Saccharomyces cerevisiae S288C: one gene and its partners. Changing the gene in region 3 together with the main gene of any one other region gives a genetic interaction. Each region holds a gene or a part of one and is shown on either strand. Other genes may lie near its edges.

Region 1 (8,173 bases), on a different chromosome or scaffold from region 3:
GAAACAGTTTATGATAAAGGGCCAATTGCCGCTATTAAGGAAATTTTAGACCAAGTGTGATTTTAAAGGTGATCTGATCTACGCGCCCTCGATAGTAATGACTAAATATCTTGGGTAGAGTATATATAATGTCGTATTTTTGTATATTGTTTTATTTAGACAAATAGTAACGTGTTATGTTCCTTCAAGCGCATCTTTCATGATTTTCAATCGATAGTCAAATGGATCCATTTAGAGTTTCTCATCACCATCACCATATCATGTCACTCCACCCCGCTTTACGTAAAAAAAAAAAAAAAAAATTGAATAAATGACTAAGAATTAGACACAATTTTGTCTTAATGAATACTTTTTACCTATGACACATACCAGTTTCTACATATGTTGATCTTCATAGCTCCAAGAATCTTCATAAATTCGTGACAAATTAGAATTACACATTATTATGTAAAATATAATATACAATGTTGCCTATCAAGACAAGCATATGCACTCTATGATCAATCAGAACCCTTTGAGAACTTCAAAAATTTCTTCCAATCCTTCTTCTCGGTCTTACTTTCTTCGGAAGGAATACCTCTCCTAGAAGGTGGGACCCAAGATGCAGATTTCCATGGTTTTATACCTTCTTCATATAGTAATTGGATTTCCTCCAAAGATAGACCAATCGTTTCTGGTAAAAAGAAGAAAACGTACAGAAACATTGCAACCAAACAACCTACGAACACATAACCATAATAGAAGTGGATAGACCCAGTAATGAATGGTGTGAAAAACCCGATCAAAAATTGCCACAACCAGTTGCATGCAGTCGAAATCGACATGGCCCTAGATTTGACCTTCGAAGGGAACGACTCGGCAACCACAATATAAGCAACAGGAGCCCATGTCGTTGCAAAGCAAAATATATAGAAGCAAGTGAACACAATCATGGCATTACCTGCACCTTTTGAGGATGGACCATCCTGGCCATGAGGGTAAAGACATTTCACCCCGATACTTGCAAATATGACCATACAAGCCATCATCCCAGCTGCACCAAATAAAAGACATTTACGACGGCCAATTTTGTCTACGACCATAACAGCAATAATAGTGGAAAAGAAGTTCACTGTACCTAGAACGATCGACGTCTCAAACCCATCAGTAAGACCGACTGATTTGAAAATGGTAGTTCCGTAGAAGAAAAAGTAGTTTTCACCAGTAAGTTGCAAAAAGGTTTGCACAAGAATACCTGTGATCAAACGTTGAAGGACTTTAGTTTTGACGGAGAAAAGTTCTTTCCATGAAGCTTCTCCTAGTTCTCTTTGGGCAAGGACACCGGCGTTGATTTCATCAGCCTGTTTGAGTACCCATGGATCCTCTGGTGAAACCTTGTTGATTTTGGCAATGGAAGCACGGGCCTCTTCGTGTCTCTCACATTCAATAAGATATCTTGGGGACTCTGGAACCAATAACATACCAATGATGATAATCAAAGTCCATAAAAAGCAAAGCCCAAGTGGGACTCTCCATTGTGCAGTGTTATCGTATTTTCTCGTACCATAAACGCTACAATAACCCAAGAAAATACCGAAGGTCATGTTAAGTTGGTACAATGAGACAAGTCCACCTCTCAAATCTGTAGGAGCTATTTCAGACAAAAGCATTGGACACAACACCGAACAGCCACCAGCACCAAGACCATAGATAATCTTACCAACGAAGTATTGGTACCATTTGTGATTCGAACTGATCTGAATAATTGCACCAACCATATATACCAACACCACGATTACAATTGCCAGCCTTCTACCTAAAGTATCAGCAAGACGGGCAAAAATAAGACCACCTATGGCACATCCAATACTGAACATAGCCACAAGAAGACCCATACGCACGTTGCTCAAATAATATTCACCAGTGCTATGCTTGTAAGAACCGAAGTTCATTTTAAAGTTGTCCATGTTAATGAAACCTGCTGTGATACCACTATCCCAACCAGGCAGGAAACCCCCGAAGGATATTGGATAACACAATAAGTAAATGACAAGATAACCTATGAGCCCTCTTTTTGGTGGCTCAACGTTATCCCCGTTTATGACTTCGTTGTCATCAAATCCATCTGACCACTCTTTTTCCACGGGTGGTGCGACGTGAATATCAGCATCAGGACCATCCTGAATATCTCTATCACTTTCAGTGGATGATTGCATTTTATTAATTTTTCTTTTCTTTTCTTTTTTTTTTTTTTTTTTTTGATTTATCAAATGAGAAAGAATTTACACAACACTTGCACAACGAAAGAAAAATATCACACCTAAACTTATCGCTTTATATATCTCGTTCACCATATTATCCTGTGATTAAGGAGGGTGTTATGGCAGCAATGCTATCCTACCACTTGAACGATAAAATTCTGTGCCAAGGAGGTTTCACCGTTCGTATACACTTATCTCAATTGATACTGCTTGCCGCCTTCTTTTGAATAGATTCCGTGCTATTTTGCCTGTTTTTAGACGAGGATACTAATATTATATTATCTAATATTATCCTCGAACGTTTACGTCATCATTTGGGATACTATTCCACATTCTAGGTTGCTAACGGTCTTTGCACAGTCAAGTCATCCCACGCATTTGTGCCTATGTGCCTATATGTGCATTATTCTTAATACCCCGCCACTCTATGCACAAAAATGCATACCCCACCTCCACCTTCCTATTTTGTGCATTGACTATTTACTCCGAAACGAACCCTTGAAGTTAAAATAATTAAACTTTTTGGCTGCAAACCAGTGACGTCAGATATATTTTATAATAACCCCAGGGAGGCAAAAGCTTCTTTCTCGGCAAGGAATGAAGATGTGAAAAATTCGTCAAATAATAGCCGGGCTGGTTACAGCAAGGGGCGGACTTAAGAAATAAGAACGGAGATATAGAAAAAAACTCTAACGAAACATAATCACGCAATCCCATTGGAATAGTTTAGGATTCTTGAAAAAGAAAAGCCCCCCACAGTACGTCGTATTTCATTTACATCTGCAATACCCCCACTATAATTACTTCTGACAACATTTAGAATAAAGGTGTTGAAATTTTTTCTTTTCTTGTTTATTACGTTGCCACTGAATAGCCTACGAACCACAAGGAAGTGAACAGGAGCCTTTGGCAGCTTAGCTCATTGAGTGGTATGATGAAATAAACTTCCTACCCCGTGTTATTAAGATCAGTTAAAATATTGTGGGGGTGTCGTAATATGTAATAGACATGTGATACATTTTTATGTACACTCTATACTTTCAGCATATAAATACAGAGATAAGTTGAAGTTTGATAGCTCAATTGATCAGTTTGTATGATAAGCAGTGAAAAAAAAAATCAAAACAGATAACAAACAGCGAAATGTCAAATAGTAACGGTGATAATAAGTATGGTGTCATTACAATTGGTGATGAGAAAAAGTTCCAAGCTACCATTGCGCCACTTGGTGCAACTTTGGTAGACCTGAAGGTAAACGGCCAATCAGTCGTTCAAGGTTATTCAAACGTACAAGACTATTTAACAGATGGTAACATGATGGGCGCTACAGTTGGTCGTTATGCCAACCGTATCGCCAAGGGTGTTTTCAGCCTGGATGATGGTCCTCACAAGTTAACTGTTAACAATTGTGGTAACACAAATCACAGCAGTATCAGTTCCTTAAATCTTAAGCAGTACAAGGCGTCCCCTGTTGAGAATCCTTCCAAGGGCGTTTACGTTGTTGAATTTAAATTGTTGGATGATCACACACAGCCCAACCCTAACGAGTTTCCAGGTGACTTGGAAGTCACAGTGAAGTACACTTTGAATGTTGCAGAAATGACTTTAGACATGGAATACCAAGCACAGTTAGTTCGTGGTGATGCTACTCCAATTAATATGACCAACCACTCGTATTTTAACTTGAACAAAGTCAAGAGTGAGAAGTCCATTCGTGGTACAGAAGTTAAGGTCTGCTCGAACAAATCGCTTGAAGTTACAGAGGGGGCATTGCTTCCAACTGGTAAGATCATTGAAAGGAACATTGCTACTTTTGATTCAACTAAGCCCACCGTTTTGCATGAAGATACTCCGGTCTTTGATTGCACTTTCATTATTGACGCTAACAAGGATTTGAAGACTACAGATTCTGTGAGTGTCAACAAATTGGTTCCTGTTTTTAAGGCCTATCATCCCGAATCTCACATCAAATTTGAGGTTTCGACGACAGAACCAACCGTTCATTTGTACACCGGTGATAATTTATGTGGCAAATTTGTGCCAAGGTCTGGATTTGCCGTTCAGCAAGGTAGATACGTTGATGCTATCAACCGTGATGAGTGGAGAGGTTGTGTTCTTCTGAAGCGCGGCGAGGTATACACTTCAAAGACTCAGTACAAATTCGATATTTAGGTGAGGCTGAAGCTTTTTACGTTTGTTACGTTTCTTCACTTGCTTGTAGATAAAACCTTTATAATGATATATGATCTAGATTAAACTCAACGTTTGTACGTTTAAACCTAAAAGTTTTTGGACCTGTCCCAAAATAAATATTATCACAAGTGGTAGTACTAAATTGAGCGTAACAGGCGGACTCTGTAGGCTTTTTGTGAGTTTGGGGTCTGAATATTTTTTACTCTTAAAAAAGAATACAGAACTTACTAAAAAAAATCCGTACTAAAAAGGTAGAAACAAGAAATGGTTTATTTGAAAAAAATACTTTACGTCCCAGCCTCACTAAAATTGAGCAGGAAACCGTATATCAAAACTATCTACCAAGAGAGTTCTGGTAAAAACATTTATATGAATAAAGATTAAATTATGCCTATTTTTTTCCTAGCAGTACATTCACTATGTTTCTATATTTAACGCTTTGTCGTTATCCCGGATAAAATTCTTCAGGTTATTTGCAGACGTTTGTCACATTATTTTTTCATTGACAAAATTTCACGAACTCTAGTAATGTTCAAATTCAAATGTCATGCAAGGCCCCTATGAACATTATTACGCTGTTTAACCAGCGGATAATAATTAGATCGCGTTCGTCGTAAATATAAAACATACGCTCTGTAAGTAGGTCCCTCTGAACGTTGGCAATTTGACAGTGAACTAATGAGTCGTATTCATAAAGAAACATCAACTGTGTACCAAAATACTTATTTGGGATTATGTGTTTATAGCCTTGATTACCAATGTTTGCATAAATAGAAGTTACCCTATTTCTTTGAATAATATAACATTACATTTCTGCAATATTCACATCATCATATAACCCAAAATTCACAGTATCGTGTGCTAAATCGGTTAAAAAACCGCCTCACCTGCACCCATAGTATACCTGCAATTTTTTTCTTCATTTTCTCTTAAATTTACTTGTTATTCTTTTTACGAAGCCAATTTTCATAGGGGAAAAATGCTTAACTTGAACAACGTAATAAACCACAATCATACCGGCAATGTTGAAAAGGATATAAGCCTAAATGAAACCGAAGTTTCTCCATAAGTAACTAAAGCTAGCATTTATGCGCGCCAAGTATTCATCACCTACTTTGTACTGACAATAGGCGCAATCTGCTGTTGCATCTGGATTTGCAATATACCCAGTCCCAAATTCAAAAAACGGTTTGGTAAATTCACCACATGTTTGGCCTACCGGGGGGTTGAAAAGAGACAACTCTTTCTTTGAACATCTTACGGGTTTGTCATGCATCAATAATCCAACTAAATTTTGCAAAAAATACGTGTAAGGGGATAGTTTCCACATGAATGTCCAGAAACCAGGCATTAAAGAGGCAGGTTGGACAGCACCGCAGAAAGAGAGCAAAAACGAAAGTATAAAACCTACAATAACATTGGCAGATTGTAGATTTGGAGACATGTACAGAATCATTAAAGCAAGACCAATATAGTAAAGTTGAAAAAGTATGGCATAGTTCAGATAAAAAACACTTGACCTAGAGGCTTCGGTAAAGACACCCAGAGGGAAATATGATGAAACGAAAAAAATTGTTGAAAACAATAAATGGTAAGGCAATTCATTTAAATAATGGGTAATCAAAAGTAAAGACCAATGAAACATATTAGATTTGGACTCACGAACTTCATATAGCTCCTTAGCAACGGTAGCACGCTCCTGTATTTGGTTTGTTGCAGGAGCTGATATAACGATAGCCATGAAACAGGCAAATAAGCTATTTTGTAATCCAATAGCATTTACACCCACATGGAAAAAGGTAAAACCAATGAACAAGCCACTGATCATCAATAACATCATTTTGGCCATGATGTAGTTCAAGTTTCTCCAAAATGTTAAACTGGATCTTTTCAGCACATGATGGAATTGGTAGGAATACGATGTTGCATACTTAGAGGCCCTTGTAGCTGTTTTATGCAAAGTTGTAGAAGATAAGTCCTTAATCATGTCATTTATTTTTTCGTTAATGTTTGCATACTCGTGAGATTTTTGCCATATATCAGGCCAGTTCTGTTGAACAGAAGCGGTGGCCCCAGCTCCTATGGCTTCTAAAATATACTCTGCCGGATTTTCATTTTGTTGACATTTCCTGGCTCCGTTCTTTTCGAAATACTTAATGACAGAACTTGAATTTTTACCTATTTCACCAAAATAAATTGTTTGACCGCCTTTTCCCAAAAGCAATAATCTGTCAAACTGTTCAAAAAGAGTAGCTGATGGTTGATGAATAGTACATAAAATTGATTGACCTGCTAGAGCTAATCTTTTTAACATTTTGACGACGGCCCACGCGGATTGGGAATCCAAGCCAGAGGTCGGTTCGTCCAAAAACAATAACAGATCCGGCTTGCCAACTAGCTCAACGCCAATTGATAGTTTCTTTCTCTGTTCAACATTCAAGCCGTAACCAATTTCGCCGACAAGAGCTTCTGAGAACTCCTGCATTTCAAGAATAGATATAATTTTTTCAACATATTCCATCTTTTCAGCGTCAGGAATAGACTGTGGCCGACGCATACGAGCACTAAATTGTAGCGATTCTTTGACAGTAAGTTCAGCAACATGAAGATCTTGCTGTTGAACATAACCGGTACGCCTTTTGAAACTAGCGTCCATTGGGAGACCATCAACTAACATATCACCAGTAATCGTTCCCACGTTCCTTTGAGCCAAAGTGTTTAATAATGTGGTCTTACCAGCGCCGGACTCACCTATTAATGCTGTCAAAGTACCAGGAACACAGTAACCGCTTACGCTGTCCAGAAGTTTACGTTGTCCGCTAGAATGAGGAATTGTGAAAGAAACATTTTTCCAAATAAACACCCCGGTAGATTCCAAACCTTCAAAGTCTGCACTTGTGCTATCGTCGTTACTTGAAGCTATCTCTTTCATATCCTGTGTTGCTATAGAGGCATTAAGGTTCTCTTCGTCATTTTTGCTGCTCCATGATCTTTGTATAGCATTCTTTGTGCCCTTCTTGACGACCAGAGCATCACCACCACTTTTGACAGGACTTTTGTACTCAGTGAAAACCGCCCTCAAGACGATGTAGCCAATTAAGAAACACCACATGATGCCGAAGTTTCTCCAAGTATTTTTGTACTCATATTGATATTGGGCCCTCAAATAATCATCACCTAGGACCCAAGATTGGCCAGGCCTTGAACCAACAAAAGCACACACTTGATTTTCTGGCAAGATGTTTTCAAACCCAGGTCCAGAAGGAACCAAAGTGCCACCACAATCCATATGTCTTCCATGAAATTCTGCATTTAACATCGATTCAAATGCATATCTAATGGGTAGAATGTACGAAATCCACTTAAACCATGGATGCATTGAAGGTAATTGTATCATGTACGTCGAATACATGGCAATAGATAACATCACAACACCGGCAATGGAGTTGGCCTGGGACAATGTATCGCATAAAGATGAAACCATCTGAAACAAACTTGTAATAGCTTCTGAACACATTGTCAATAACAAATACATAGTAAAAAAAGCACCGGCGCTTCTATGCAAACCGGCTAAGAAGTACAGGATGATTATGAAAAATGTTAGACCAATCATTCTGAATGGAAAAGAAGAAATCGTACTTGCTAACGCTTCAGCTGAGGGATGATATAGTGAATAGACCTTGTGTTTTTGCAATATTGGCCTGTGCTCGAAACTAATATTAGCTAAACCCATCAAAGAA
Region 2 (6,435 bases), on a different chromosome or scaffold from region 3:
GGACGAAGAATGGATCTGTGCTACTCAGGGACATTCAATCAAATCGATTCAGCCATCAGATGAGGTTCTCGTACCAATTACTGAAGCGTCGCAGTTACCACAGGAACTAATTCATGGAACAAATCTTCAATCTGTCATAAAGATTATTGAATCCGGAGCAATATCACCAATGAGTAGAAATCATGTCCATTTATCGCCGGGGATGTTGCACGCGAAGGGAGTTATTAGTGGAATGCGTTCTTCAAGTAACGTCTATATTTTCATCGACTGCCATTCTCCATTATTCTTTCAAACTTTGAAAATGTTCAGGTCGCTCAATAATGTTTACTTAAGCAGCAGTATTCCCGTTGAATTGATCCAAAAAGTTGTAGTTAAAGGAAACTTGAAAGATGAGGAGAAGTTAGATACTTTAAGAAGAATTTTACACGAAAGAAACATACCGCTCGAAAAGATATAACTTTCATCAAGCTCAACTTTTATGAATTTTTATTTTTAAATACTTCGCTCTTACTTATATATTTAAATAAAAACTTTTAAGATTAGATGAAATGAATTGTCTCCCTTTTATAGCTTTCTTCCTTCTTTTTTGTTCTTTATCTTTTATTTTTTGTTGGTGTAGCAGTCTAACTTTCTACAATTTCCTGTGTAGGTTCGAATTTGAGTTTATGATGGGCAGCACCTTCGGCCACCTGTTGTTTCCTCTTTTTAGCTAGAGCTTTAGAGGCTTTGATATTGAATCCGTCCTTTAAAATTGTTTGAACTTCCTCTAACTCCAATCCTGATAGTTCTGGATAACAAAAGTAACAAAAAATGGTTGATAAACATGCTACACCGGCAAAGAATGAAAATGTACCCGTTGGTGTAATATTTTGTAACATAGTCAAGAACGTAGACGCAATGACTAAAGAACCTGCCCAATTGGTGGCAGTAGCGTAGGATGTCCCTACACCTCTGACGTTTTGTGGAAATAATTCCGATTGTTGCCATGGAACAGTGCCGATACCGAGGGCATAAAAGGCTGCATACACAATAATAAATACGATAATGACAATGCCCCAAGATGAAAATCCATCAGATGCCACTACTGCATCAGCACCGTTAAACTTAATACCTAGGAAATGGAACGCTATAGCACATATAACCAGCGCCACAGTCATACCAGGTAGTCCAATCAGTAAAATGTACCTACGGCCGATTTTATCAATACAGAAAAATGCTATTAATGTGAACACAAAATTAGTACCTGAGACAATAATAGAAACGGCAGAAGAATTTTTGAATCCAACAGTTTCAAATATTGTACCGGAGAAATACATTAAGGAATTCCAACCTGTGAATTGTTGAATGGCTTGTAGACCACAACCAATAATCAAAGCTCTGAAATTTGAAGGCACAGTGTGCAATTCCTTGACCATATTCCAGAATTTTGTTATTGGATTTTTTCCTGGTATCGATTGATTTAAGCTAGATAATTCTTCAACTTTTTGATCAATTATTTCATCTTCAGTGTTTACGTAACTTCGTTTGAGAACCATTTTTGCTCTCTTTAAATCGCCTTTCATTACGTAGTATCTTGGTGTATCCGGCAAAAAACAGAAAAAAGAAAACTGCAAAACAGTAGGTATCAAGGACAAACCAACTAAGATTCTCCAACCGTTTTTGACGTGGTTCAGGCCCGCACCACAACCGTAAGCAATCAATTGACCACCTGTCAGCCATAGGGAATTTATAACGGTTAACCTACCCCTGATCATCTTAGGAGCAATTTCACTAATAAAAAGAGGAGAAATCAAAGAACCAATACCGACACCGAAACCCATAATCAGTCTACCGGCCGCCATTTGCCAAAACTTGTGCGCGGTAATTTGTAAAATTGCTCCGATCAAAAACATCAGATTGGAGAACATTAAACATGGTCTTCTTCCAAACACATCAGCAGCAGTACCAGCGCCCACACTTGTAATCAAAGCGCCCAATGATGTGGCGGCCGTAATTAATTCTTTTTCTCCATAAGTTAAAACTTTGTTGTCTAAATCTCTATTGATAGAAATTAGCGCACTCGATATGTAACCAGTATCATAACCAAACATGAACCCAGAAATGGACGCAACGAATGTCAATGTAATAATAAAAGGGGATATTGACTGATTGAAAGTTATAATCACTGATGTATCATCTTCATCGTTAACTGGTTTAATGACAATTCGACCGTCATCCTCGTCCTCATCCTGTCTAGATTTTATTTGCATTGTAGAGGTGGATACGGGAGACTTTTTCGGTTTTTGACCATCATTGTCTTCTTCACAGTGCTTCCTATGGTGCAGTTCTTCTCCCTGCGTAGAAGATTGATCAGTTGAGGCGGCCCCCATACCACTGCTATTAGTGTACGAGGGAAAGAAATGGGAGAGACGACTCTTCGTCCATCTGGAACTAGCAGCTGTCGAATTCTTCATTTCAGCCATGAAAAAAAAGCAGTTTTCTTGCTTTTACTGCGTCCTGCCTCTTTTCTTCTTTTAGTTTTTTGTTTTCGTTACCGTTTTCCTAGCGAACGACAATGTTTATTTTATTAAGGTATTCTTTGTGTTTTTTCGTACTCTATACTAAAGTATGGTCAACTGCTTACGTTCTGTTAGGCGGAAGACACGAAATAACTTTGCTTCACATAATATTTTGCATACTTTTAGTGGCAAGACGAGCGATTTTGGAAATTTTTTTGGCGATGTTTTTTTAGTAAAGCGGGTTTTTGACTACAATTTGAAAGCTCTTGTAGTAGAAGAGGGAACAAATAAGAAAAAAGGTTCCGGGATGAGGATTTGAGCTGAAGGTGAGAAATGGGTGAATGTTGAGATAATTGTTGGGATTCCATTGTTGATAAAGGCTATAATATTAGGTATACAGAATATACTAGAAGTTCTCCTCGAGGATATAGGAATCCTCAAAATGGAATCTATATTTCTACATACTAATATTACGATTATTCCTCATTCCGTTTTATATGTTTATATTCATTGATCCTATTACATTATCAATCCTTGCGTTTCAGCTTCCTCTAACATCGATGACAGCTTCTCATAACTTATGTCATCATCTTAACACCGTATATGATAATATATTGATAATATAACTATTAGTTGATAGACGATAGTGGATTTTTATTCCAACATACCACCCATAATGTAATAGATCTAATGAATCCATTTGTTTGTTAATAGTTTGAATGTTTTTATCGGAAGAGGTTTTGTCATCACATCAGCAATGTTCTTCTTGGTCTCGATGTAGTATACGTATAAATTATTACCTGATACTTCATCTCTAAGTCTCATTGCCTTTGTGCCAAAAAATCTGTTTCTAAATTTCTCTTCATTTGTAGACTTAATTATACTGATCGTTGATCTACTATCAGTAAGTAAGCCTTTAATAATTGGTTTCTTGTTAAGTTCTTGTATCAGGTAACTTAGATTATTTAATAATGGGACAGATTCACTTATCGCGTGTATTTCTGCTTCCGTAGTTGAAGTACATGTTAATGAAGCCTTGGTGGACTTTCCTCCAATTACCTTTCCATTAAGTAAATATATGTTGCCAATTTGTGATTTATAATACGGTTGGTTGCCATACGAAGCATCACTTATTGCGACTAGTTTATTATCTGGCTCGGTAGGTTTGTTTTTGTGCCATATCAGTTGTTTATCTCTAGTGTCCCACATGAATTGTATCAACTCATATGTCATGTCTAAAACTTGCCTAGAGGGGAATAGTATATGTTGAGCAAGTGTGTTGATGTAGTATAGTAAGTCAAATCTAAATTTATATCCAACATATGAAGCTAGACCAATCAACTTTTGCATTTCATGTACCTTCTCTTTGTATTCATCTTCATCTATTTCTAGTTCATCCTGGTCTATATAAAGACCTGGTTGACCTGGAGCGCTAAGTTTTCTTCCTTTTGGATTCAAAGGTACGTTTAATTTGGGTATTTTCTCAGTTAATGAGTTTTCCATACCTAATTTCATGTATTTACCTCTTTGATATTTGATTTCTAAGCCAAGTATGTCGTACTGAATTTCGTTATCACTTTCACCCAGATTTATTATCTTTGTATCGTATTGTTTCTTGAGTGTTGTTATGATTTTCTTATTTGCATTTAAGTCTTTGCTGAATAAAATCATGTCGTCAACAAATAAACATATTGTTACTTGACTATTCTTAAATACGCATGACCATCCACGAACTTCTTCCATACCACACTGTTTTATCAGGTATGATTTGATAGTTTCGTACCAGTTCGCTCCACTTTGTTTCAATCCATAAAGTGATTTCTTCAAACGTATCAACTTATCATTCATTCCTAAATGTGGTGGAGGTCTTATGTATAATTCTTCTTTGATGTCTGCATACAAATATGCCGAAGATATGTCTAATTGTGTAATATAGTAGTTATTGTCTAATGCAAGTGACAGGGATGTCATTAATGCATAGTGATGTACGGTATTGGATTGCATGCCTGAGTCGTAAGTGTCAGGATGCTGAATATCACCTCTTGCAACAAATCTAGCTTTATGAGTACCGTCACGTTTCTTGTTGAAGATAAACATTGAGTTTATTACTCTTTTAGGGTCTATTTCTTTTCTGTCATAATATTCGTCAGTGTCCCAAGTTTTCATCTTCAACAGTTGATTGACTTCTTTGTGGTATGCCTCGATATATTTTTCTTTTTCTTTAATATCTTTATTATAGGTGATTGCCTCATCGTATCGTAAGGTTGTCCGTATTGGTTTGATTGATTTTACTGCTTTTACAGCTGCAATCAGGTGAATTCGTTTCTTCGATCTCGGAGGTTCTAAACTACGCATATTCTTAGTATTCCATGTGTCTCGTGATACCTTAATTTCAGTTTCATTATCTTCTAATGATCTTTTCTTACTGTTGATAGTAGTATAGGCATTAGAGTCACCAATACCACCCAAACTGGAATTAGTTTGATGAGAATTTATCGGTGGGAGTTCTTTAAATGGGTCAGGGAATTCGGTAGGAGATTCTGGAGGTAGATCAGGGAGTGGGAGATCAGCGATGATAGATTCCTCGGTATTCTGTTCAGAAACAGTAGTTGGCGTTTTGATAGGAACAATATTGTGCGATGAATTATTTTCCGGTGGAGAAGCATCGATTGAAGGTGAACGGTGTATAATCCTTTTCTCAGTCTCTTGGTCACTTATCTGCGGAACAGTTTTGTTGTTGGTACCACCCGTACTGGATATTGGTACGTTTGTATGATTAGTCTCATTTTCACTGTACGAGTCTGAGTGTCTGAAATCTTTAGATTTACTGGCGTGCGACGACTCATGTGTGTTAGATTGGGACATGGGAGCAAGTAAAGGAACATTTAATTTATGCATACCACCCGAACCGGTACTCTCGATATTGGAAATTTGGGGGGTGCTAGATCTCTTCTTTGATGGAAGAATATTAGATTCAGATATGTTGGGGTCAACTTCTCTGGGTGCGCGAATATTGGTTTTAGAAACACGTTTCGAATCTTCAGTATGAGTTGACGGAGGTGTGGAATCGGTTGGACTCACAGCTTTTGAAAGGACATTTCTCGGTTGCTCAGGATGTAGTTCGATGTCAGATTGGAAGTCATGGTCAGATTCTATGTTAAGATCATCGGATTGTTGGATCTCATTTGACGCAATGAACGATTGATATGAAGCAGTTAAACGGTTTAAGTCTTCATCGAAAGTGAGTGCGTCGTAATTGAATTGATCTAATCTGGATTCCTTGCCCTGAAGAATAACATAGTTAGTTGTATCTACTGTCTTCTTTAAGGATGGAAGATAGATGATATATCCATAAGAGTTTCGAGACGGATGTAGAGCGTAGCCTGGGATGCCACGAGGATGTATTTTGGAGTTAGGGTTGTGATCATTGACGATAACAGGTTGACCGAAAGGTAACAAAGTACTGATATCAAGTCCTGCCAAGCCAGCATGTTGTCTTGCAGATTTTTTGCTTTTAGGTGAAGCTAGTGAATTTCTCACAATAGTAGAAAATTCGATTGCAGAGAACCATAAATGGTTCGGTAAACCACTACATTGCAGTTGAGTACGGCAGTCATCTAATAAGGTACGGTTGAGCCGTTCAGCGACTCCATGTGCTCGGGAATCCGCTGTGGTTGTATAGCATGGAGTTATACCATTTTTTTCAAGGAATTTATGGAGAGTTCTGTTAGTATACTCAGAACCACGGTCCATTTGTATAACCAAGACACTGGCCTGAAACTGGTTCTTAATAAAAGCTAGTATCGTAGTAAAAACATCGAGGATAGAGTCCTCGCGACGGTCGTGTAATGGATAAACCCAACGGAATTTTGTTGTCTCATCAGTAAATGAGATGAAATAGGATGGTGCACTTTTTGGTAGGTTGTGAACTGGACCA
Region 3 (8,812 bases):
AGCACTCATTATAGCCCCGTCGGAGGTTTTTAGGACTTTGAAAAGGACTACAAGTAGTGGTACAAGGAATGCTGTAATGTGTAATGGGATGGCCTCACTAGCCCACAAAAAGGCGACACACTCGACAAGGGCCATGCAGCGGTGCTGAGCAGCGTCGTTGAAGGTCTTTATTCCTAACAAGAGTCCAGTGACTAGAATAATAAAGTAAATCTTGTATGCTTTCTTGGTGAAAAATAATTTCGGTAGTGCAACGTTGTTTATACTAGTGAATTTTAAGTTTATCGGTCTGGGTAGTGGCCATCTGTAGTATTCCAAATCTAACTTGCCTACCAGCTTATTTGCATTATATTCTGTTTCCTTTGGTGTCAACTCGTCAGCTTGCGATAGCAGTCCCAACATGTCTTTCCAAGTGTTACTTCTTTCCCAAACAATGTGGTCATGCAGGTAGGATTTCAACTCTTGCTTGCTATGCGAGATATTATGAGGCCGGTCAGTGATGCGCGCATAAAATGTGACTAGCTGGGAAATTTTGGAATTTAGCAATTCGATCGTTTCTGCCTGGAATGCATATGTGTCTTTGAAAAACTGCTCCGATTCGATCAGTTCGGTTCTTGTATTCAAGTGAAGAACTTTGTCTGATTTCTTTGTAATTTTTGCAAACCCAATGCGGTTCAATTCGATGAACGACTTCAACTGGCAAAGATCGATATATAGGTTTACGATCGACTTCTTCAACAGCGATTTTTTCTGAGACTTAATGTTATACTGCGAATGATGCAGCAAAGCAGTATTATCTTCAATATTAGATTGATCATCGTAAAATTCGTCGTCGTCTTCGTCATCATCCAAGTCTAGTGGGGGAACTTCGTCATTTGTGCTGGCAATCGGTTCGTTAAACAGAGTATCATCGTCGATATCGTATTCTATAACTCCGATTTTCTTCAGGTCCTTCACCAGCGCGTCAAATTTGTCGTAGAACTTCGCTTCTGTCCTCTTATAAAAATCATCTACTTTCTGTTTTTCAGCTGTTAAATCACCAACAAACGTATCATAAGTGTCTAATTGCAGATTTTCGTTGGCCGTGGAGGAGACGGACGATGCGGAAGACGACCTTCTTTTGTAAAATATCTTTTCCTTCATTCTTCTGAAAGGAGAAGGTTTGGCAGCGACCGTCTGAGCAGTAGGCAACTCTCGCAACTCGATGGTTTCCTCAACGATGCCTGCATCTTTGTTCATACCGGAAGACGTATCTTCCTTCGCATTTTTAAAAGAAAACTTGTTTTTGAACCTATCTGTAATGTTAGAGCTCTTTCCTGCGCCAAATCCTTCTTCGTTATCACCAACCTGAAGTTCATCTGTTTGTAGCGTGTAAATAAGATTTTTCAGCTCGCTGTAGTCCATATAATGGTTTTGCCATTCTGGGACAGCATTGTACTTCAAGAAGTGTGAAAATCTCATGATCCTGTACCAGCTACCACTTACTCGTTTATCCTAAAAACAACTTTATTGGCCGGATGACATCGAAGTGAACAGTGTTCTTTATATCGATGAATCAAAATTTTTCAGTGAGCCATTCATTCTTCGAGAAGCAGCGCAAAAAAAAACAAAAAAAAAAAAAACGGCTGTAGCTGCGGCGATATTGTGAGCGCCCCGCTTTAGGGCGACTTTACCCATAGTAAAAAGGGAAGACAATAACGAAATAAGAAGAGAAGAGAACCGTGGTTTCTCTGTTGCTTAGGATCATATACGCCTACAGCAAGGCACCTCTTTATGCGTATGCAGTCATACAAGGAGTGTGGAAATGCAGCACAGATGGCCTTCGCTGCTTGCCAGGCTGCCATTTTTCTTGGCTGCTGCCGCTACTACTGATTTTCTTACCTCTGCTAGAAACCAGTGGAAATGATTTATTCACAATCTAGCACCATGCAACATACATCCAAATCAGTGGAAATACGACATTATTAGCCGGCCCTTTACGTGCCAAAGGTAATAACAGTGAACGGGAGATGGGAAGCTTAATGCTGTTACCCGCTATCGGTTGTTGCTATGTAAACCAAATATAAATGCAAGCCAAAAAAAAAGGGTAACATAAGGTTAAGTAGGAGAAGGGAGATATTGAATGTATAAGGTGTCAGCATGTGGGGTGAGGATAATGAGTGGCATATCAGAAATTTGGATTGGCGAACTTAGAGATTACAAGTACGCTTTACGTCTTGATAGAGAAGAGTATCCAGCGGTGCTTGTTTACGAGTATGACTCGTCTTCTACTAGGAACTATCTTTTTACCATAAAGTACAGCGATCAGAGGCCGAACTGGCAGCTCATTACTCGTGACGCAGCTTTAACAGCTTACGACTTACTTAACAGAGGTGGCGAGTTCACAACTCTCAGCTTTCCGGGAGCCACTATTCACCGTTCAGTCAGTGAGCTGTCCCGATTGCATTAACAATATATAAGGGAGCAGAGCGAAACAATATGAGGTTCAGTAACATTTAAGGGTCGCTATTGAGTGTTTTGTGAGATATAAGTGAGTTTTGAGATAATTGTTGGGATTCCGTTGTTGATAGAGGCTACAATATTATGTATACAGAATATACTAGAAGTTCCCCTCGAGGATATAAGAATTCTCAAATGGAATCTATACATACTAATAATACGACTATTCCTCATTCCGTTTTCATATGTTTCGTTCCTATTACACTATCAATCCTTGCATTTTCAGCTTCCATTACATTTGATGACTGATTCTCAATCTTTATGTTATCTTTTTACACCACATGTGATAGTATACTACTAAACAGTATGCGGTAGCTATACTCTTTAATGAATGGGCGAAGCCTCCCTAGTATTTTATCTTGACATATCTAAAGGATTGCACAATATTGCGATTTGTTCTCCACAATGAAACCTTCTCAATAATTGTCCGATCATCCACCCATTTCTTAAGATGATAGACGATTCTTAGTCCAATAACATTGTATCCTTTACGTTCCGTAGAATATCATGTTGTTGATCCTCTTCTCAGCACAGTGCTTATTACTCTCACATCAACATCAAAAAAATTGCTTCATGATTAAAATGTTTGTGGAATATAACCGTTAAAATAGGTCAGGCAAATATAAAATAGAAGCTTCTATGGCCAAGTTGGTAAGGCGCCACACTAGTAATGTGGAGATCATCGGTTCAAATCCGATTGGAAGCATATATTTGATTTTTTAGCAATTAATTTTTTTTTTTTTTTTTTTTTCACGCTCTTGAGTCATCGCGAGTAAAATTCCACTGGAAAATTTTTTCAATATATACAAAGTTCCACAATATCATACAGCTCTCACATCGTAGATTATGTCAATAGATGGTATGGCATCAAACATGTATATAAACTAAAATATTTTCATCTTTTCGTATTATTCGATTTGCGCACTTGCAAAAATAAGAATTTTCGACTTTCTTTAAACATAAAACTCTAAGAGCAATAAGCAAGAGATTCGATGCTATCTTCAGCTAATAGGTTTTATATAAAGAGGCATTTGGCAACACATGCCAATATGTTCCCCTCTGTATCTAAAAATTTTCAAACAAAAGTGCCACCTTATGCAAAACTTTTGACCAACCTAGACAAGATTAAACAAATAACAAACAATGCTCCATTGACACTAGCAGAAAAAATTTTATACTCGCATCTTTGCGATCCTGAAGAATCGATTACTTCTTCTGATCTGTCCACCATCCGTGGTAATAAATACTTGAAGCTAAACCCAGACCGTGTAGCTATGCAGGACGCTTCTGCCCAAATGGCGCTTCTACAATTCATGACCACCGGTCTAAATCAAACATCTGTCCCAGCATCCATACATTGTGATCATTTAATTGTAGGTAAGGACGGTGAAACTAAAGATTTACCCTCTTCCATAGCTACCAACCAAGAAGTTTTCGATTTCTTGGAGAGTTGCGCAAAGAGATATGGAATTCAATTCTGGGGCCCAGGTTCTGGTATCATTCACCAGATTGTTTTGGAAAATTTCTCAGCTCCAGGTCTAATGATGCTAGGTACTGATTCCCATACACCAAATGCAGGCGGTCTGGGAGCTATTGCCATCGGGGTTGGTGGTGCGGATGCAGTTGATGCCCTCACAGGCACTCCATGGGAATTAAAAGCACCAAAAATTTTAGGTGTTAAATTGACCGGAAAGTTAAACGGATGGTCCACTCCTAAAGATGTAATCACAAAGCTCGCTGGTTTACTAACTGTCAGAGGTGGTACTGGTTATATCGTCGAGTACTTCGGCGAAGGTGTATCCACTCTATCTTGCACAGGTATGGCAACCATCTGTAATATGGGAGCTGAAATCGGTGCTACAACGTCAACTTTCCCTTACCAAGAAGCTCACAAGCGTTATTTGCAAGCAACTAATAGAGCAGAGGTCGCTGAAGCAGCTGATGTTGCTTTAAACAAGTTTAACTTCTTAAGAGCCGACAAAGATGCTCAATACGATAAAGTTATTGAAATTGACTTATCCGCAATTGAACCTCACGTTAATGGTCCATTTACACCAGACCTTTCAACCCCAATATCTCAATATGCCGAAAAAAGTTTGAAGGAAAACTGGCCCCAAAAAGTTAGCGCTGGTTTGATTGGATCATGTACCAATTCATCTTATCAAGACATGAGTCGTGTTGTCGACTTGGTCAAGCAAGCTTCCAAAGCCGGCTTGAAACCACGTATCCCCTTCTTTGTCACCCCTGGTTCAGAACAAATTAGAGCTACCTTGGAAAGAGATGGAATCATCGATATTTTCCAAGAAAATGGTGCCAAAGTTTTAGCAAATGCATGCGGCCCTTGTATCGGACAATGGAATAGGGAAGATGTCTCGAAAACATCAAAAGAAACGAACACTATTTTTACATCATTCAATAGAAATTTCAGAGCTAGAAACGATGGTAATAGGAATACAATGAATTTCTTAACATCCCCAGAAATAGTAACAGCGATGAGTTATTCTGGAGATGCTCAGTTCAATCCGCTAACTGACTCAATTAAATTGCCAAATGGGAAGGATTTCAAATTCCAACCACCAAAGGGTGATGAGTTACCAAAAAGAGGATTTGAACACGGTAGAGACAAATTTTATCCTGAAATGGATCCAAAGCCAGATAGCAATGTAGAGATTAAGGTAGACCCTAATTCTGATCGTTTGCAATTATTAGAGCCATTCAAACCTTGGAACGGGAAGGAATTGAAGACAAACGTGCTTTTGAAAGTTGAAGGTAAATGTACAACAGATCATATTTCCGCTGCGGGCGTCTGGTTGAAATATAAAGGCCATCTAGAAAACATTTCTTACAATACATTGATTGGTGCACAAAACAAAGAAACCGGTGAAGTCAACAAGGCTTATGACCTTGACGGAACTGAATATGATATTCCTGGTTTGATGATGAAATGGAAATCAGACGGTAGACCATGGACCGTGATAGCGGAACATAACTATGGTGAAGGTTCCGCAAGAGAGCATGCTGCTTTGTCACCAAGATTTTTAGGCGGAGAGATTCTTTTAGTTAAGTCTTTTGCAAGAATTCATGAGACAAACTTGAAGAAACAAGGTGTGTTGCCATTGACTTTTGCCAACGAATCTGACTATGATAAAATATCAAGCGGAGATGTTTTAGAAACGTTGAACCTAGTTGACATGATTGCTAAGGATGGTAATAACGGTGGTGAAATTGATGTTAAAATTACTAAACCAAACGGTGAATCGTTCACCATCAAGGCAAAACATACTATGTCTAAAGATCAAATCGATTTTTTCAAAGCTGGTTCAGCAATCAATTATATTGGTAATATACGAAGAAACGAATAAATTCTGAAGAGATATTAGCTAAAAATTAAGAGTCCGATTTAATAGTCATAAGCTAGTTTACACAATTCTATAGACTCTGCATATAGACGGTGCAAATAACCTACCTATTTATTTATTTATTTACTATAAAAAACGTAATATTGTTTGATATATAATATTATACACGAGATCTCGACTGCTTCAACTACGGCTTAACTCAAGGGTGGGGGGTATTTTGTTGTCGTATATGCAATATGTATGTGTTAAAAAGATACAATTATGTAAGTTACCACCTTTGTTTCATTTCATTCATTACTTGTAAACCTTGTAAACGTTCTTCGTACAATGCAGCTAGCCTGCTAACCTTGTTGCTTGCTTTAATATCTGAATATCCCTTTTGAGAGAATTTATCTGCTGTCTTTGAAGTAGTTTCATTTTTCTTCTTCTTTTCTTGTAGTTCTTTGTCGAACTTCTTAATCTTCGCGTTTTGGACGAGGGTTAAACTTTCAAACTGTTGTACGAATATATCTGTTTCCACAGAATTTTTATCCTTTGCTGGCTCGTCCTTAACCATTTCTTTGATATTATCTGATATCGTTAAATCGGTGCTGCTGTTACTCAATGGAAGCGAGTCTGCTGATGGAGTCTTCGTCGGTGAGGATAATGTATCTGTAGAAGAAGAAGCTAATGCCAAATCTGTATTAGAATTGGAAGTTAGAGACAGTTGTGGTCGTGTAACTGCCTTAATAGGAAGTGGAGGTTTGGCATTGAATGATGGGGATGAAACATTTCTGCTTGAAGACTTAGGTTTCAAGACTGGTGTATTTTGTAATGCGACAGGTGTGTACGTTGGAGACGTAACAGATCTTTGTGGACTAGGGCTTCGACTTCTAGGAAGGGTTAAGCAGCCTAGTTCACTGTATCTGGTTGGCGACGACTTCCTTGGCTTAGGCAAAACAGGGATAGTAGAAGACGATGATACGGATGAAGGAGGTGATGATATTTCCTTCGCGATTTCGGGGAAAAAGTCCAGTAAATTTTTAATATATCTCGACCCAATAGCTAAACGATCATTAGTCATCATGGAAAGTTTTTCCTTACATAACGCCGGAGTTAAAGCTTTACTTAGGGTCCTTGAATCATGTTTAGTCGATTCACCATGCGCTATGATCCTATTAAAAAAAGGAATTATGACCATAAAGAGGTCCTGGTATTGGTTGAATTTAATAATTTTGCGGAATGTTTCACTTGTGAACTTTAGATCATCAACAATTGGTAACGGAATTAATTCAATTGGGATTAGAGGTTTGGCTTTATTCTTAATGAAGTAATTCAACCACACGGATGCCAAAGAATAAATATCCCATTGAGATAAATCAATGTAGTTGTTTCTTTTGATAATATCCAAAAAAATGTTTACCTTTTTATAGTTTCCCGGCTTCTGGAATATCAATTCACACAACAGAGCGTCATTCTGTAATTTCTTGAAAATTTTATCGAATACTAACTGCCTATACTGTCTTATTGCCAGAGGGGTCAATCTGTTATAATATTCCTCCGGGACATTTATATGTTCGCGTATCTGGTAATCATATAAGTACACGTTCAACGATATTCTAAGTCGCGTAATATCTATTAGCTCGGATAAAGAAGTCAGGTCCAAGACATGAACTAAACTTGGAAAATCATGCTGACTATCTTTTGAGTCCAAGAAGTTAAAGTTCATAGCGTTTGAAATTACTTGATAGACCGACCTAACGAAGAATGACTCATGAACAATAAAAATCTTTTGTAAATAGAACTTGGTCTCTTTGGGTAACTTTGCAAACATTTTAATACCGTAAACCCAGCTTATTTTTCTCTGGGAAAACCCAGATGAAAAAATCACCAGTGAATATGGTGCCTGTGGCAATTTCATTACCAATCGATCCATGAGGGCATTAATAAGCAAGTCATAAACTTGCTTATCGCCAATTTCATCAGATGCTGGCAAATAAGTCGAATCAAAGACATAAATTGCGTGACCAGAGTTAGGATCAACTGAATAAGATCTAAAAAATATGTTATTAACGTTGATATCTATCATCCTGGCCTTCTTTCACGCTACCAATAGTATTATCCAGTAGGGCCATATCCTCGAGAATTTCACTTTCTATATACAAAATAACATCAACATGAAAAAACGCCAAAATACGTACGCCGTTAATAGTGATACATGTGCTCAATTACGGTGCATCATCAACCTTTACATACTTCTAGCTAACTTTGATTTTCATGAGGCTTATTTTTTACTTTTCTTTAACCTTGTCTCTCCCACAGCTCTAATTTTACGCTTTTTGCCCTTACTATCTCCTCCTTTTTGCTTACCTTGGTCGGATACTATCTTTTCTTCTTCATTTGTCGGCTTGATACTATCGAATAACTTAATACCAGTTTGTACTCTTCGCAGCCTCATCTGTTCTAAATCTAGAGAGCCTTCGAAGATTTCTGTGTCTTCAGGGATAGAAAATTTTGCCACTTGAGTAAATTTATCCCATGGAATGGCTGCAAATTGTATTTTGCACAACTCTACGAGCTTATCATGTTCCCGGTCTTTATCTTTCTCAAATTCCCAATACTGTGTTCTCTCAAAACAATTATCTAAAATGGTTCTCTTACTTTTCTTGATTTCTTGACCAGTAAAAGAATATACTCGCTTGTACTGGGCGACAAAATCAGTGAATGTCTTATGTAGCGGATGTGAGCTGTTCATAAAGTTTAATCTGGCTTCACCATCCTTTGAAATCATCTGTTCAACAATACTTTTATCCTTTGCATAGTAGCGTGCTGTCAATTTGATTACTTCCATGTCTCTTCGGGATATTCCAGTATCATATTGAGAGAACAGAAAATCCGGCGGCCTTGCTATCTCTCGCTCACTCTTTCTGTCATTATCTTCACCGCTGACAGTGTCTGTTGGCTCATTCATGAGTTTG
Region 4 (4,932 bases), 330 kb from region 3:
TCTTCATCGTCGTTAAATTCCACGTCACCTTCCATAACGTGACCATATTGGCAGGTTCTTCTCCCATCAATGATACGCCAAAGCCGTGAGGGGCAGTTGTCTGTACCGCAGATGGGACCTCTTATGAAAGTAGACATCCTTAAGTGATGTAGGGGTATGTCCGAGTAGTTCGTTCAACTATTTTTAAAGACACATCGTTCCAGGTTTATATTCATATACATATGTATGTATTGTATAGGTTTTTTTATTTTTTATTTTTTATTTTTTTTTTTTTTTTTTTCAATTTTTTTAAGCTTTTCTTACTTTTCCGATGCCCTTTCCACTTTAATCAATATACGTATGAAATTCAGCCGAAGTTTCCGTTTGATAATATATTAGATTCAATATAAAAAAAAGTTTATATGATTCAGTGTATATATATATATATAAATAAGAGGTGCGAAAGCCCACATAAAGAGATTGAAGAGACTGCGTAAAAAGAAATATATAGAGAGATACTCTTAAAAGTCTTCGTTGAAGGTGAAAGCACCGGCTTCTTGCTTAGTCGACTTGGACATAACACCAGCCTTTTGGTAGTCAGAAACTCTCTTTTCGAAGAAGTTGGTCTTACCGGCCAAGGAGATGTTTTCCATGAAATCGAAGGGGTTTTCGACCTTGTAGTATTTCTTGTTACCGAAAGCAACCAACAGTCTGTCGGCGACGAACTCAACGTATTGGTTCATTAAGTCAGCGTTCATACCTAGCAAAGCAACTGGTAAGGCGTCCAAGAAGTATCTTTGTTCAATTTCCACAGCCTCGGTGACAATTTTTTCAACAATGGCTGGGTCTGGTTTGTTCTTCAAATGGGCGAACAACAAGCATGCAAAGTCGGTGTGCAAACCTTCGTCTCTACAGATCAATTCGTTGGAAAAGGTTAAACCGGGCATCATACCTCTCTTTTTCAACCAGAAAATGGAGGCAAAGGAACCGGAGAAAAAGACACCTTCAATGGAGGCAAAGGCAACTAGTCTTTCACCAAACAAGGCGTCAGCGTCTTGAATCCATCTTAAAGCCCATTCGGCCTTCTCACCGATTTCTGGGATGGTGTGAATGGCATTGAACAAGAATTCACTTTCTTTAGGGTCCTTGATGTAAGTATCGATCAACAAGGAGTAAGTTTCAGAGTGAATATTTTCAATCATGATTTGGAAACCGTAGAAACTCTTTGCCTCTGGAATTTGGACTTCGGTGGAGAAGTTTTCAACCAAGTTTTCATTAACAATACCGTCAGAAGCGGCGAAAAAGGCAAGAACTCTGGAAATGAAAAATCTCTCGTTTTCGTTCATTCTGTTGTTCCAGTCATGGATATCCTTAGACAAATCAATTTCTTCAGCGGTCCAGAAAGAAGCTTCGGCACGCTTGTAGGCTTGCCAGATTTCATGGTACTTGATAGGGAAAAGAACAGTTCTCTCCTTGTCTTCATTCAACAAAGGTTCCTCCTTTTCCATTTCCTTAAGTTTGTGACGGTGAACTTGATGAGATTTCAAGTAAGCCTTGTGATTTTCAGCGTCCTTGCTCAATTTCTCCTTAAGCATGTCTGACTTTACTCTGTTTTCCTCTCTCAATGTCTCCAATTCCTTGTTAAGGTTGGACTTGGAATCTTTGATTTCCAAGTCGGACAATGCATCGGCAGCAGCTTTGGAAGGGGTCTCTTTAGGCATGGTAATTGGACAAATAAATACGTGTATTAAGTTTGGATTCTTTGGTAGATAGCCAATCGAGGGAACAATTAAAAAAAAGAAAGAAATAAAAGACAAGAAGAAGAGCGAAAAAGGGGAAAGTGATGAGGAAAAGAACAATAGATAGATCCAGAAGATGATGGTAACGCGCAAACACTACCGCTATATATACCTACAAAACTCTCATTCTCTCATTTCCTGCTTCGTTCATTTCGAGTTTCCAAGGGTATGGTACGGTGCTATCTGCCCGTGCTTCCCCTCCTTTGCTTTGCTAAGAAAAATTTTCTTTTGTCAGCAGCAACAACACGCTACGCTCTGCGCTGTGCTACGAAGTGGTCTCTGTGGCAACGGGGACATTGTACCCATGCCCGCTCGCAGGGAGGTCTGGGTGTGGGGCGTGTGCGACCTCGTTGCCATGGCGATCGCGCGTGGGTGTGGTCTTTCCCCAAACGGTTGCCCGTTGCTCCGGATTTCGCATAGTTGTCGCGTAAACAAAAAACACGAGAGAGGGCGGACGGCGCTGAATAGTGGAAGATCGCGCGATGTCAAGTAAATAAGCTTGTATTTGTATTTGTATGTGTTTATGTGTTTGTGTGGTTGAGAATTTTATTTTCCTCCTAGTTTTTTCTTTTTTGAGTGCGGAGGGGCAGTGCTCTAAACTTTGCCTGCTTCTTGTTCGACTTCGGCTTCCTATGCAGAACGCAAAATCGCGTGCGCGAGGAACGAGGAAGACAACGCTTTAGATTGGCTTTTTCGTCGCCCATGCCCGTTGCGATAGCGATATGATGAGAAATCGATAAAAGGTTGCACCAGTACACCGCACTTTCTGGCGTGCTTGGATCTGGCTTGCGCGGCCTCGTGCCAGTAAGTAGAAAAGTAGTAATATGGCATGGCGAAAGAGAACAAAACAAGCAAAGCAAGCGTAATGCACAGCTGTGGCTAAAAAAAGAGCACAGAGGTGAAGGGAAAAAAAGATAAAGAAATTAAGGAGGTTGAGAGGGCTTGTGTGTCGATGCTTGGTGAGGCGGGACGTAACGGTTTTTTGTCTGTAGGCACTTCTACCCCACAGGGCCATGAATCTGGCCCGAAACCGTTGCGAGCGTGCCAATTGGTGGTGATATCTTTTTTCTTCCCTTTTTTTTTGTTTTCCGTTCTGTTATGTTCCTTCATCTTGAATTCACTAAAGGGAACAGAAGAAAAAGTTGGATATTAGATAAGCGGTACTTTTCTACAGGTCTAGTATTATTCCTCGGTTGGAACAAGAAATAGTGCTTCAGTAGCTCAGTAGGAAGAGCGTCAGTCTCATAATCTGAAGGTCGAGAGTTCGAACCTCCCCTGGAGCATATTTTTATACGTATATCTTTTTTCCCTCTATTTTGTTTTTTTTTTCTTTGTTTTTTCGTAGCTAGTAAAGAAGAGAAGGAGACCTAAAGTGTATATATACTTAATCTGCGATCATTGAAAAGTCGCTAGCTTATTGTCACTTACTGCATTTTCACAACATCTTCCATTTTTGTTTTCTCAGAAGGACAATGCTGGAAGGTACGGTAGATTATGACCCGCTGGAAGATATTACCAATATACTTTTTTCAAAAGAATCCCTGAACAACATAGATGAACTGATCAGTATTACCAGAAGCTACAAAAAGCAATTGCAAGAGGATATTCTCAAAGAAGAGAATGAATTGAAGGAACACCCTAAAAATTCCGCTGAAATAGAGGCTTCTCTGAGGAAAGTTTTCCAAGATTTCAAAGAAACTCAAGATGTCTCAGCCTCCACCGAGTTGACGATATCGAATCTGACAGAAGGTATCTCGTACCTGGACATTGCCAAGAAAAACCTCACCCACTCTTTGACTCTTTTCCAAAATTTAAAGATATTGACAGACAGTTACATACAATGCAATGAATTACTCTCACAGGGCTCATTCAAAAAAATGGTGTCCCCTTATAAGATAATGTGTTCGCTTGCTGAAAACACATTCATCTCTTACAAATCATTGGACGAGATAAACTATTTGTTGAGCTCCATTTCAAGACTGAAAGGAGACACTTTGTCCAAAATTAAACAAAACTACAATGCGCTCTTTTCCGGCGGCAATATCTCAGAGCATGATACAGCACTCACTATGGAATTGCGCGAAGGTGCCTGCGAGCTACTCGACTGCGATACAAGTACGAGAGCCCAGATGATAGATTGGTGTTTGGACAAACTTCTCTTCGAAATGAAAGAGATATTTAGGGTCGACGATGAAGCCGGATCCCTAGAAAATTTATCGAGAAGATACATTTACTTCAAAAAAATTCTTAATAACTTCAATTCAAAGTTCGCAGACTATTTCTTAAAAGACTGGGAAATGGCAGTCAGATTGACCACCACTTTTTATCACATTACACACAAGGACCTTCAGACACTTCTGAAAAGGGAATTCAAAGACAAGAACCCTTCCATTGATCTATTCATGACAGCATTACAATCGACGCTAGATTTCGAAAAATACATCGACGTACGATTTTCAAAAAAAATTAAGGAACCAAAACTAAGTTCCTGCTTCGAACCTTATTTGACTTTATGGGTGTCTCACCAAAACCAAATGATGGAAAAGAAATTTCTTTCTTATATGAGTGAGCCGAAGTACCCATCTAATGAAACAGAATCTCTCGTGTTACCCTCGAGTGCAGACCTTTTCAGGACATATCGTTCCGTACTGACTCAGACCTTAGAGCTCATTGATAATAATGCCAATGATAGCATATTGACTTCATTGGCAAATTTTTTCAGTAGATGGCTTCAAACTTACTCACAAAAAATTCTTCTTCCTTTACTGCTGCCCGACAATATTGAAGTCCAGGATAAGCTAGAAGCTGCCAAGTATACCGTTTTATTGATCAATACTGCAGATTATTGTGCCACGACTATAGATCAATTGGAGGATAAATTATCTGAATTCAGCGGTAATCGTGAAAAGCTGGCAAACAGTTTTACGAAAACGAAAAATATATACGACGATTTACTAGCAAAAGGAACTTCTTTTCTATTAAACCGTGTCATACCCTTAGATCTAAATTTTGTATGGAGAGAGTTTATCAACAATGATTGGTCAAATGCTGCGATAGAAGATTATAGCAGGTACATGGTAACCCTCAAATCCGTACTTAAAATGCCCGCATTAACAGATGCCTCTATTAAACAACAGCAAGAGCAACCTTCGAC

Evidence for each region.
Region 1: mutations in ACO2 (region 3) and HXT17 together harm fitness more than expected from each alone (negative genetic interaction), as found in Saccharomyces cerevisiae (one large-scale study listed by BioGRID).
Region 2: mutations in ACO2 (region 3) and ITR2 together harm fitness less than expected from each alone (positive genetic interaction), as found in Saccharomyces cerevisiae (one large-scale study listed by BioGRID).
Region 4: mutations in ACO2 (region 3) and RNR2 together harm fitness less than expected from each alone (positive genetic interaction), as found in Saccharomyces cerevisiae (one large-scale study listed by BioGRID).

What each region holds. Positions count from the first base shown.
Region 1 is NC_001146.8:766,679-774,851, reverse strand, and holds HXT17 (hexose transporter HXT17), read right to left. Parts: upstream 2,196-8,173; coding exon 501-2,195; downstream 1-500. Other genes in the region: MAN2 (putative mannitol dehydrogenase), read left to right, coding at 1-60; YNR071C (aldose 1-epimerase superfamily protein), read left to right, coding at 3,384-4,412; ATP-binding cassette multidrug transporter PDR18, read right to left, coding at 5,476-8,173. UniProt on the Saccharomyces cerevisiae protein: Probable glucose transporter.
Region 2 is NC_001147.6:120,019-126,453, reverse strand, and holds ITR2 (myo-inositol transporter ITR2), read right to left. Parts: upstream 2,454-6,435; coding exon 624-2,453; downstream 1-623. Other genes in the region: TPT1 (tRNA 2'-phosphotransferase), read left to right, coding at 1-457.
Region 3 is NC_001142.9:53,490-62,301, reverse strand, and holds ACO2 (aconitate hydratase ACO2), read left to right. Parts: upstream 1-3,488; coding exon 3,489-5,858; downstream 5,859-8,812. Other genes in the region: PHO90 (SPX domain-containing inorganic phosphate transporter), read right to left, coding at 1-1,458; MBB1 (Mbb1p), read left to right, coding at 2,120-2,446; ECM25 (Ecm25p), read right to left, coding at 6,124-7,923; PRP21 (Prp21p), read right to left, coding at 8,119-8,812. UniProt on the Saccharomyces cerevisiae protein: Catalyzes the reversible dehydration of (R)-homocitrate to cis-homoaconitate, a step in the alpha-aminoadipate pathway for lysine biosynthesis.
Region 4 is NC_001142.9:389,172-394,103, reverse strand, and holds RNR2 (ribonucleotide-diphosphate reductase subunit RNR2), read right to left. Parts: upstream 1,701-4,932; coding exon 501-1,700; downstream 1-500. Other genes in the region: RRN7 (Rrn7p), read right to left, coding at 1-137; YJL027C (uncharacterized protein), read left to right, coding at 1,855-2,271; YJL028W (uncharacterized protein), read right to left, coding at 2,458-2,793; VPS53 (Vps53p), read left to right, coding at 3,251-4,932. UniProt on the Saccharomyces cerevisiae protein: Provides the precursors necessary for DNA synthesis. Catalyzes the biosynthesis of deoxyribonucleotides from the corresponding ribonucleotides. RNR2 provides the diiron-tyrosyl radical center.